Canis lupus familiaris: one gene and its partner. The protein of the gene in region 1 interacts with the protein of each later gene in a pairwise test. Links are inferred from orthologs where the notes say so. Each region holds a gene or a part of one and is shown in the gene's direction. Other genes may lie near its edges.

What was found.
Region 2: the proteins of LNX1 (region 1) and RUVBL2 interact in binary tests that used the Homo sapiens proteins (3 or more experiments, as listed by UniProt). The two-hybrid records come from large-scale screens. The link is inferred for Canis lupus familiaris from reciprocal best matches to the Homo sapiens genes LNX1 and RUVBL2.

The regions. Positions count from the first base shown.
Region 1 is NC_049234.1:46,944,372-46,948,347, reverse strand, and holds the start of LNX1 (E3 ubiquitin-protein ligase LNX), read left to right. Parts: upstream 1-1,176; 5' UTR 1,177-1,908; intron 1,909-3,976.
Region 2 is NC_049222.1:108,059,221-108,067,326, reverse strand, and holds part of RUVBL2 (ruvB-like 2), read left to right. Parts: intron 1-488; coding exon 489-618; intron 619-782; coding exon 783-849; intron 850-3,533; coding exon 3,534-3,640; intron 3,641-3,728; coding exon 3,729-3,822; intron 3,823-4,211; coding exon 4,212-4,335; intron 4,336-4,683; coding exon 4,684-4,778; intron 4,779-4,877; coding exon 4,878-4,996; intron 4,997-7,386; coding exon 7,387-7,506; intron 7,507-7,939; coding exon 7,940-8,069; intron 8,070-8,106. UniProt on the Homo sapiens protein: Possesses single-stranded DNA-stimulated ATPase and ATP-dependent DNA helicase (5' to 3') activity; hexamerization is thought to be critical for ATP hydrolysis and adjacent subunits in the ring-like structure contribute to the ATPase activity.

The DNA.
Region 1 (3,976 bases):
GGCCTATGTGGCCTCAGAGCCAGACACCCCAAAGCTCCACCCAAACCAACCCCAGGGTAACAAGGGTGAGCAACTGCCCTGATGTCGCAACTCCTATATTTACAAAAACAGACAACTTTGACCCCGCTGGGAGGCATCTCCTTGTCTCCTAATTAACGGTTTTACTTTCCTTTGACCAGCGGCCAGCTGTCCCGGGGAACCGCCGTGGCACAGGAGAGCTAAATGCTAACAATTGGAAGTAAGGAGGAGGCCAATAAAACCAAAACACGTTGCAGTGTGACCTGAGGACTGGGAACACATGTGCTGGTTTGTGTTTTTTTTTTTTTTTCTCACCAGGGAGAGGTTTTCAGGCTGTGAACTCCTTGTCATTCATCCCTTGGATTATTGATTAAAAGAAGCTCATAACTGTTAGGCTCCTAAAACCAGAAGGGCATACTCACAATCAGACCATGATCAAAGCACACAGAGAGGCCCAGAGATTTGTAGCCCACTTCCTTGTGCGTAAATAGGAGCCCCAAGGGGGGAGCCGGGTCTATAGCAGCCAGCAGCCCCACTGTGGTTGAGACAAGAGGAGGTGCCCAGCCCGGTGTGTGCTACAAACAAGTTATATAAAGATGGCATCGAACTCACAGCCCCAGGGAGCAAGCTCTTTGGCCATCGCCAGAGATGCCAGTGAACAGAAGTCCTGAAGCTGACTGGTGGGGAAGGCCACACTTCCAAAAGGGCAATTTTTCCATTCACACCTCTCTGGAGCGCTTGGCCGGAGCACTTTGCTCTCGAATCCTTCGTTTCTTCGCCTATACGATGGGAATGATAACTGTAGGACTATGTGGAGAAGTAAATGAGATAATAATGCAGGTCAGGCCATGGCACAGGACCCTGCAGCCAGTCAGCCCTCGACAGATGTTGGCAGAGATGCTGCTGGGCTGCGGATGCTGACCCCGCTGTTCACGAGTAAGTAGGAGAAACCTTTATTTAAACCTGATTTTTTTTTTATTGTGCTAGTCTTCACGAGAAACTTCTTCCTTCGTTTTCAAAAATAAAAACTGCTTTTTTTATTTTATTTTTTTTTACCTTTTATTTAAACAACAGTCCTGTCTCTTTAGAGTTAAAGGTCTTAACTAATATCAGCCATGAACTTGCTCATCTTTTTCTTCTTTGTCTGACAAACATCAGGCCGTGTTCCGTTATAAGAGATGCTGCCTATGGAAAATCTTTTAAAGTCTTGGCAAGGCCGTGGAACGAGTCGGGATGCCTTGATTTGTCTGATACCCATTTCAGCTCATGCTTCTCTGCATAATTAAAAATAAGAAGACGCCCAGGGTTCTGAGGCCCGTCCAGGCAGCAGCCCCTGCCTGTTGAGGAACTGGTCCCAGCACGAGGATGTCCCAGGCCCTGGGGACGACCTGGACCTGAAGGTGCAGTGAACCCTGTGTTTACTTCCTTGTTGATTTCCCTTCTCTGGCTCCCAGCTCATTTTCCCATTGCCTGCAGGAAAACAACATTCAGGGGTGCGGTAGGACTGACTTGGCAGGCCGAAAGGTGAACAAAAGGATCCTGGCTTTTCCTGAGAGCACAGGGACGGTCAAGGGAGCCTGGGCCCCTTCCAGACCAGAACAGATTAGTCACTGATGCTAATGAGCGCTGCTCGGTGGGGGGGCTGCTCTCCCTGGAAGCTCCTGGGAGGCTGCTCTCGGGTTCATGGATCAGCATGACACAAAGCCTTGCAAAAGGGGCAGGAGGTGAGCTGATTACCTCCAAGGCCGAATGGTTTTCATGCCTGTCTGGAAGAGGAGACACAGGAAAGAGAGAGAAAATCTCCCTGGGCCACAGAAGATCAGCTCCCAAGCGGACTGCCCCCCACCCGAGGCCTCACACGACTGGGAACCGGTTCACCGTGCAGCAAAGGTAAGAGTCCCGCCTCCCCCTCCAGGGAACATCTCATGTGATTTGAGACACTTTGCGATTTGAGACACTTTGCTCCTAACTCTCCCAGCCCAGCCTCCCACCCTTAGCCCGACCACCCACCCCCCAGCACCCACCACACCGCCCCTCCAAGTTGTTGAAGACAGCCAAAAGCTAGAATGTCTAGGTATGTCTTTTTCAAAACACTCCAGAAAGGCCCTCAGGATATCTACATTTTTAATACCTGATTTTTTTTTATTGCGCTACTCTTCACAAGAAACTTCTTCCTTCATTTTCAAAACTAAAAACTGCTTCTTTTATTTTGTTGGGGTTTTTTGTTTGTTTGTTTTTTACTGGTCCAACAGGTCAGTAAAAACATAAACAACCCCACTAACAGTAATTGGATTCATATAACATTATTCCTCATCAGTATCCGAAACATATTCACCTATTTTGCTTCATTTCTGTAGTGGAAATAGGTATTGCCATTGCAGTTTTACTCACGGAGAGACTTAGGTCCAGGGAAATTTGACTTGCCTGCCAACATGTGGGTAGGTGAGTAACAGAGGGCACATCCTGTCTCTATTCCTGCCTCTTTGCAGTAGAACGGTGACTCTACCTTTTTTTTTTTAAGGATTTATTTATTTACTTACTTATTTAGAGAGCAAGAGCATGGGGAGGGGCGAGGGAGGAGGGAGAGAATCCTCAAGCAGACTCCCTGCCGAGCATGACCCCAAGATCACCACCGGAGCCGAAATTTAGAATTGGATGCTCAACAGACTGAGCCAGCCAGGTGCTTCTTCAAACCAAAATACCAGGCTATATTCTCTGCCACATATTCTGTGGCCAATGATCCGATGGGAGGATAGGATTTTAGAAATTGGAACTCATTCGCCTAGAAAATCCAGAAATAGAGTATCCAGTACGATATGCCACCTTGTTATTTATCGCTGTTTACATCCATCCCTGGGCGCCGAATCCAGTTCACCAAATGTTGATAAGCTGCATTCTGGGTGCCCAGCACTGGGCCACATATCGGAGCACGGTGCAAACCATGTGGCCAAGGCGTGCTGAAGGAATGCACTGTGGGGGCCGAGGGTGGAGGTCGTACATGAGAAGACTCTCCACGGGACAGGAGCTTCACACTTGAGCTTGGCATAAAGAGGGGACTTTGACTGAGGGGGAGCTTTTCAGATTGGGACCACTCCCCACAGTAGGAATTTGCTCATGGAACATTCAGAGCAAGATGGTGACAACAGAACAGGCGACGAAGAGCACATTCTGGGAATTAGACTTGAATCTCGGTACTATTTTCCACTCGCTCTGTGCCCTGGAGTTAATCCAGTTAACTCTTATGACCTCAGTGTTCTGAAAGGCAAAATGGGAATAATAGTATCACCTCGTTCATGGAGTTGTCTTAAGGTTTAAATGAGAGAATGCATGTAAAGCCTTTGCTGGCACGTAATGAGCGCTCAAAAATACTATTTAATTACCCCATGCCTGCTTCCATGGGAGATACTAGGAGTGCAGATGAGAGGAGCTCTACTCTCAATTTGATCAAACATTGTGAATTAGTTGTGTGCAACCAGCTACGTGCGGTGCAGTAATGCCCTGGGACCACAGACAGAGGGATCATCTGTAGGTATTCTGGGCCTGTTGGGGGAGGCGGGAAGACGTTTCCCAGTAGAGGCCCTGTTGTGTAGGCAGGTAGTGAAGGACTATCTCAGTGAAGATAGTGAAAGGAGCTGCGCCGATGTGATTTTGAATCCCAGTTTCACCCCCAGCCACATACACAGCACCGCGTGGATATCTACTTATTCAGGAATCTCTCCATCCTTCACTAGGTGAGTGGAAGGAGAATATTTCTCCTCTGCACCTCATCAGAGTGCCAGCCTGTCGCAGACAGACCCTGAGCCTGCTTCTGGAGCAGCCACTCCAAATTTTGTCCGCCCAAAGCAGCCTCTGGGTGCCTGTGTTCTGGAAAGTCTGGAAAACACGATTCCAACCTAGCATATGCATTACATGTAGATGGAGATACAGATATAGATGAAGCATAGACGTACGTATGTGT
Region 2 (8,106 bases), on another chromosome or scaffold:
TGCCACCCCCAGATCGCTTCTCTGCAGGTGCGGTCCCACACCAGCACTTGTTCTGTTGTGGTCCTCATTATACAGAGATACAAACAGACAAGACTTCTCAGGATCACATGGTGCTAAGCGGTGGAACCGGGATTCGAACCTAGGTGGTCTGGCTCTAGAGCCACCACCCTTAACTACTCTTTCAGTCCTCTTTTGGCCTTGATTCCTGCTCATTACCCCCAAGCCTAAAAGGCTAAACAACTTCTAAAGCCCTGGCGAGGTTATAGGGTCATGAAATTGACCTTCTGGTCAGCATGGGGTTCGAGTCCAGGTCTTCTATGTAGCCCGCCATCCCTGGCTTTCTCCATGTCTCCCTGTCTGCCCCCAACACTGTGTGTATTTCACCTACGCTACTTCCTGAGGAGGGAGAAGAGCTGGTTTGACACAGAATAGGTGTTGGGGACCTGGTGCCAGGCTGTCCCCACTTACCCAGACCACCTCTTCCCCAGGCATGGCACAGGCCCTGGGCCCTGACACCCCGTTCACAGCCATCGCGGGCAGTGAGATCTTCTCGCTGGAGATGAGTAAGACAGAGGCACTGACCCAGGCCTTCCGGCGCTCTATTGGCGTTCGAATCAAGTAAGCACAGGACCCGGTGTGGGGGATGGAGTTAGCTTGCAGTGGCCTTGGGATGACCCCTGCCTGCCCTGTCCGGCTTGTCCCATGCCTAAGGGCTCATGGGAGTTAGCCATTTGCAAGGGCCTGGGCCTCGGGCTCTCTGCTCACATCCGTTTTCCGCCTAGGGAGGAGACTGAGATCATTGAAGGGGAAGTGGTGGAGATCCAGATTGACCGTCCAGCCACAGGGACGGTGAGTCTGCTGCTGAGCCTGGGCCACCTCCAGGGCTGGAGGATGGGGTGCCAGAACCCAAGGGATGTTGGATGTTTGAGCTGCAGGTCAGAGCCCTCTACTGTGTACTGTGGGGGTCATTGACAGTTTATCCACTTTTTTTTTTTAAGATTTTATTTATTTATTCATGAGAGACACAGAGAGAGAGAGGCAGAGACACAGGCAGAGGGAGAAGCAGGCTCCATGCAGGGAGCCTGACACGGGACTCGATCCTGGGTCTCCAGGATCACGCCCTGGGCTGAAGGTGGCGCTAAACCACTGAGCCACCCAGGCGCCCCAGTTTATCCACTTGTGAGTGACGCCCTGAGCCGTTAAAAGCAAGTGGTGTCATGACAGAGAAGGTCTGGAAGTTCCTCACACTTAAATTTTTTTTTTAACTTTTATTTATTTAAATCATCTCTGCCTACAACATGCGGGGCTCAAACTCATGACCCCAAGATCAAGAGTTGCATGCTGTTCTCACTGAGCCAGCCAGGTGTCCCTCTCACAGTTCGTTCTTTCTTTCTTTTTCTTTTTTAAAATTTATCTTAAATAAAATAATTTAAATTCAGTTTGCCAACATGTCATGGTAAACACCTAGTGTTCATCTCACAGTTAATGGTTAGGCTTAAGAACCTGTTCTGTGAGATTTTATGCAGCTTAGCCCTAAAAGGTGTTTCCTATCCAGCTTACATGGTCATGGTGATTTGCTCCCTTTTTTTTTTTTTCAGCTAAGAATTTTAACTTTTTTTTTTTTTTTTTTAAGATTTATTTATTCATGAGAGACACAGAGAGAGAGAGGCAGAGACATAGGGAGAGGGAGAAGCAGGCTTCTCACAGGGAACCTGATGCGGTACTCGATCCCAGGACCCTGGGATCACAACCTGAGCCACAGGCAGATAGATGCTCGACCACGGAGCCACCCAAATGCCCCAACATTTTTGTTGTAAATTGCAACAGATGTAAAGAAGCACGTAAAATAAGCGAATGGTCTAGTATGTTATTATAAAACAAATCTCCTTAGAACTACCACCAAGATAAGAAATTAGAACTTTGAAGAAAAAAAAAAAAAAAAGAACTTTGCCAGCTCCCATCCCTACCTCATTGCTCTTTCTACAACACCCCACATCCTCACAAGGGTGGCTGCCCTTGCCTGTTTTCACTTCTTGGGTGTCATTGGTTTTATCACCCAGCAATGCATTCCCATGCATTAGTCAAGATTGCCCATTTTTAAGATTTCTTTTTTCTTTTCTTTTTTTTTAATAGAGAGCATAAGTGGGGGCACAGGGAGAGGGAGAGGCAGATTTCCTGCTGAGCAGGGAGCCAGAGCTGGGGCTTGATCCCAGGACTCCGGGATCATGACCTGAGCCAAAGTCAGATGCTTAACCAAGTGAGCCACCCGGGTGCCTCTGATGTAAAGATTATGTAAATAAATCGATAAATCTTTAAAATATAATAAAATAAAAATGTAAAACCAAAACCATCTCTCTCTTCCTCCTGAATTCCAGCCCTTTTGTCCTGCCATCTTTCCCTACAAAAAGAACAGCTCACTAGAAATAAGAGACAAGTGGATGTGCTGGAAGACACTGACTGTGCTTATTTTGTGGGGAGAAAGTGTGGTATTTTTGTTTTCTTAGCTGTGTTTAGCTTAGCTCTGTTTTCTGGGTTTGTGACTAATAAAAAAAAAAAAAAAACACAAGTTACGTGGACATAAAACAAGGAATGTTAGAGTGTGGCACACTCCCACCTCCCCACATCAGGGCCCTCTAGTCCATGTTGCTGTTCTTAAAGACTTTATCTTTTAGGTAAGTTGTTGTTTGTTATCTTCCTGGGTTTTTAGTAATCGGTTTGTTGAGCAACCAACAAACAATAAGCTGCACACAGTGAAAGTACAGGATGTTGGGGCACCAGGGTGGCTTGGTAGTGCGTCTGACGCTTGGTTTCTTTTCTTTTATTTATTTATTTATTTTTTTAAATAAAGATTTTATTTATTTATTCATGGGAGACACAGAGAGAGAGAGAGGCAGAGACACAGGCAGAGGGAGAAGCGGACTCCATGCAGGGAGCCCAATGTGGGACTCAATCCTAGGACCCTGGGATCACGACCTGAGCCAAAGGCAAACACTCAACCATTAAGCCACTCAGGCATCCCTGAAGCTTGGTTTCATCTCAGGTCATGATCTCACGATTTCATGGTCATGGGATTGAGTACTGCGTTGGTCTCTGCACTCAGTGCAGAGTCTGTGTCAGATTCTTCCTCGCTTCCTCCCTGCTGCCCGTCTCTCACTCTTTTTTTTTTTTTTTTTTTTTTAAGATGTTTTAAATTTATTCATGAGAGACACAGAGAGCAAGGCAGAGACATAGGCAGAGGGAGAAGCAAGTTCCCTGTGGGGAGCCTGATGTAGACTTGATCCCAGGACCTGGAGATCATGACCTGAGCCAAAGGCAGATAGATTCTCAACCACTGAGCCCCACCAGTGCCTCTCCCTCCCTCAAATAAATAAATAAATAAATAATTTTTAAAAGAGTTTATAGGATGTTAAGTTTTGACATATCCACAGTCCATTGCCCCCTAAAGCATCCCTGTGTCATGCCCATTTCCAAGCTGTGTTGGGGAGACAATGGGCCCCCTCTGAACTCCTTGGCTGGCCTGTCACCCATCTCAGGGCTCTAAGGTCGGCAAGCTGACCCTCAAGACCACAGAGATGGAGACTATATACGACCTGGGCACCAAGATGATTGAGTCCCTGACTAAGGACAAGGTCCAGGCTGGGTGAGTGGCAGGGGGCCATGGTAGGTGGTCAGGGTGGGGGAATCTCGAGCCCTTTCATGTCCTCACTCCCACCCTCCTCCACATGCAGGGATGTGATTACCATCGACAAGGCCACAGGCAAGATCTCCAAGCTGGGCCGCTCCTTCACACGCGCTCGCGACTATGATGCCATGGGCTCCCAGGTGGGCCAGGGCTTTGGGGGTCCGCTCACTCCAGGCACCAGGATGTTTGCATCTCCTCTATCACCCCCATGGCCCAGAGGGTCCGGATCCTCCAGTAGCCCCACCCCATGTCCCTTACTCCTGGTTCTTCCCTGTACCCACCAGGACAAGGAGGGCACTTCATCTTTGCAGTTTGCTCATGGTTTCTGAGGTCCTCCAGTAACCTCCGATCCTTCAGTGCTCTCGAGTGCCCTGGTGGTAACTTCCTCTTGGACCTGGGATTTCTGGATTCTTAGCTCTACCCCAGGAAGTCCAATCTCCCCCAACTCTCCACCCAGACAGCCCCTTTGGGCCCCCTTTCATGTTCTTCTTTACTCTTACCTCTCCCTCCCTGCCCCCTGGCCCCATAGACCAAGTTTGTGCAGTGTCCAGACGGAGAGCTCCAGAAACGCAAGGAGGTCGTACACACCGTGTCCCTGCATGAGATTGATGTCATCAACTCCCGCACCCAGGGCTTCCTGGCTCTCTTCTCAGGTGAGGCCCAGCAGGCTGGCTCTGTTCATGGCACACACTGCTCCTCCTACCTCCAGTACAGCCCCCTGGTTCGTCCTACCCACACTGTTGCCCTCATTCCCTCTTGGATAGTCCCAATGGGGGCTTGCATGTCCTACCCTCTCTTCTTCCTGGGTTCTTTGCCTCGGGTCTTCTTCTCTGGGACATTGCAGACCGAATGAGACACTCCTTCTGTCACTTTGCCACTCCAGTTTTGATCTCTCTTCCCTCTATCCCTGGTGTCCCATCTTCATTTCTCTCTGTCCACTCTCCGGCCCTCTGTCCCTGTCTCCTCTCTGACACTCCCTGTGTCACCCCCACCTCCTTCAGGCGACACAGGGGAGATCAAGTCAGAAGTCCGAGAGCAGATCAATGCCAAGGTGGCCGAGTGGCGTGAGGAGGGCAAGGCTGAGATCATCCCTGGCGTGAGTACCAGGGTGTGGCCAGGGCAGGCGGCTCACAGTGAGAGCAAATGGGAGGAAAGAGGCTTGGGTAGGTTTGACACATGCCCCAATGGCTCCCAGGTGCTGTTTATCGACGAGGTCCACATGCTGGACATTGAGAGCTTCTCCTTCCTCAATCGGGCCCTGGAGAGTGACATGGCGCCCGTCCTCATCATGGCCACCAACCGAGGCATCACCCGGTGAGCCAGCTGCTGGCCTCCCCAGAGGTCTCTGGGAGAAACAGGGTGCTCCAGGTAGTGGGTATGGGCACAGGGTAAACAGGGAATGTTTGTTGAGTTCCCTGTCAGGAAGGGTATGGACTTAGCTGGTGTCACAAGGCTATCCATGTACGGGGGCCTAGACAAAGTTTGTCTTTTAGCTTCTCCCTAAAACAAAGCAGGCGGGTGCTCAGGGCGGTAGGCAGGCAGTTCTGCTCCATCAGGAAGTTGAGGATCATGTTCTTTCTGTATTTTAGTTCCTGTAGCCCTTGAGGCTCAAGTTCCCAAACTGTGTGCCAAGGCATGCCAGGATGCTGCTGAAAACACATGAGTGCTCTGGGATGTTCTGAGTTTTCTTTTCTTTTCTTTTCTTTTCTTTTCTTTTCTTTTCTTTTCTTTTCTTTCTTTTCTTTCTTTTCTTTTTTCTTTTCTTTTCTTTTCTTTCTTCTTTCTTCTTTCTTTTTTTAATGATTTTATTTATTTATTCATGAGAGACACAGAGGCAGAGACACAGGCAGAGGGAGAAGCAGGCTCCATGTAGGGAGCCTGATGTGGGACTCGATCCTTGGCCTCCAGGATCACGCCCTGAACCGAAGGCAGATGCCAAACCGCTGAGCCACCTAGGCGTCCCATGTTTTGAGTTTCTGAGGGATGCACAGAGACAGATGTGTTTGACACTGCCTGCATCACTACAGTTAGGTCATTTAGCCCTAACGACCTTATAGAACAAAACTTAATATTGCTTTTGGCCTAAGAATGCCGGGGGAAAATTTTAGAGCCATGGAGCTCACCTGGTTCTGGGAATCTGTGCCCTAGGGTGTTGCCAGCACCTCTCGTCCTGTTGTCCCAGCTGGTCTTCTTCTCTGCCTCATCTGTATTTTGGTGGACAGGGAGAAGGAAGTGGGTGGTAAACAGCTCCCCTGGGAAGCTGGGGCCTGGAGGGTGCACTTAGCACTTCCACCGTCACCCACTGCCCAGCACCACCCTGGCTGCTCTGGAAGCTGAGGAATGTCTTCTCCAGTGCTGTGGCCATGTGGCAGCTAAAACTGGTCGGTAGAGGGTGGCCATCATTACAGAGGACAAAGGGGCAGATTTTCTGTGGCTTGTTTCCTGGGTGAACAGCTCTGACCCTTAAAAGAAGTTCAGGAGGTGGATATTGTCTCAGCCCCACGTTACAGAGGATAGCAAGGCCTGGTGACGTGCCTGAGGTTGCATGGAGAAGGTGTCAGAGCCAGAGTTGCCTCTCCTAACGAAGATAGGAAGGGGCCAGCTGAGGGTAAATGTATGGCAGCTGCACGCGGGGCACATCCTGGGCCAGGGCACAAACCCAAGTCGCTCCTCTGTTATCTGCATAAAATGTATTCTTGAGTCTACTACGTACTCTCACTTAAATGGATTTGTAAGCCCCTCTCCCCTACCCCCCCCCCCCCATCAGTGCTGGCAACTCTGGTGCTCCTGTGTGACTGGGTGTGGACCCTCTAATCTAAGGTCCAGCAAGTTGGCGCCCTGCCTGCTTTCTGGTTACAGCTCACCTGCTGTAAATGAGTGTCCTTTTCTTTCTTTCTTTCTTTCTTTTTTTTTTTTTTTTTTTTTTTTTTTGAGTGTCCTTTTCATGCCGTGTTATCTGCTTTTTATTAATGATTTGGGATTTAAAAGGGCCCCCTAGTTGCCCAGGCACAAGGCGAGGATGGATGTGCCTTACAGAGAAAGTGTGTGTGTCAGATGAGCTTCGTTCCAGGCATGATGTAGAGTGCTGTCTGCCACGAGTTCAATGCGAGTGGGTCAGTAGTGTATGCTAAATAAGATGTCTTTAAACAGAAGCACGTAGAACCAGGTTATATATTGGTTGGTTGACAAAAATACTGTGACCAAAGGCTCACAAGAACCTACCACATACATCTCCAAGAAGCAGTGGTTCATCATTTGCTAGTGAGTGTCTGCCCCCCCCCCCCCCCCCCACTTAATAGAATGTCACTACCACAAATTACAAGAATCCACTCTCTCCTGGCACTGCCATGTGCCAGGGCCTGCTCTGGGCCAGGTGCAGCACGAATAGCACAGAATAGGACCATCACAGTCTCTTACCTGTGGAGCTCTATGTCAAGCAGAGGAGTGAGACCTTGACTCAGTAATCCTGGATATAGATACCTAGCTCAGACCAACCCAGTTTTCTGTGGGCGGGGGTGGTGACACAGCTGGGGGACAGCTGCACAGTTGGTGATGACAGTAGCCATGAGCTGAAGGTTAGGTGATATTTGCCCAGTGAGTGGGCTGTGATGGAGAGGGTGGGTGGGGTATTTTAAGTAGAGGAAATGGAGACCTGGGTTCTGGGAGCATCACCCTGACCACCCTCCCTTTCTCCTCTTCCCCAGGATCCGGGGTACCAGCTACCAGAGCCCCCATGGCATCCCCATCGACCTACTAGACCGACTGCTCATTGTCTCCACCTCTCCCTACAGTGAGAAGGACACAAAGCAGATCCTACGCATCCGGTATGGGCAGGGCCGCCTGGGGTTCTGGGGCAGGACCAGGCTACGGGTCTGAGAAGCAGGGCTGGCACCCACCCTATTTGGCAAGTGGAGGCAGTGAGGTCTGAAGGGGTAGGTCTCTGGGCCTGCAGGAGGTAGGGCTGGGCTGGGCTGGGCAACCAAGCAATGGCCTCAGATCTGGTGGTGGGCCAGTGGCTGACACTGGGGAAAGAGCCCTGGCTGGAGAGGGTTGGAAGCCCAGGTGACAGGTCCAGCCCATGCCTCAGTGGCCCTTCTTGCTTGCCGTTCTGTGGTTCTGTGAACATAGACTCCACATGTCCCCCAGGACTTCAACAGCGCCCAGGGGGAAGCGCCAGCCAGGGGTTTGCTGCAGTCAGAGCCCTGGCCCTGGCTGACCACACCCCACCCCACCCCACCCCGCCCCACCTGCCCACAGGTGTGAAGAGGAAGACGTAGAAATGAGTGAGGACGCCTACACGGTGCTGACGCGCATCGGCCTGGAGACCTCATTACGCTACGCCATCCAGCTTATCACAGCTGCCAGCCTGGTGTGCCGGAAACGCAAGGTCAGCTAGCCCAGTAACCCCCGGGGCCCGCCCAAGT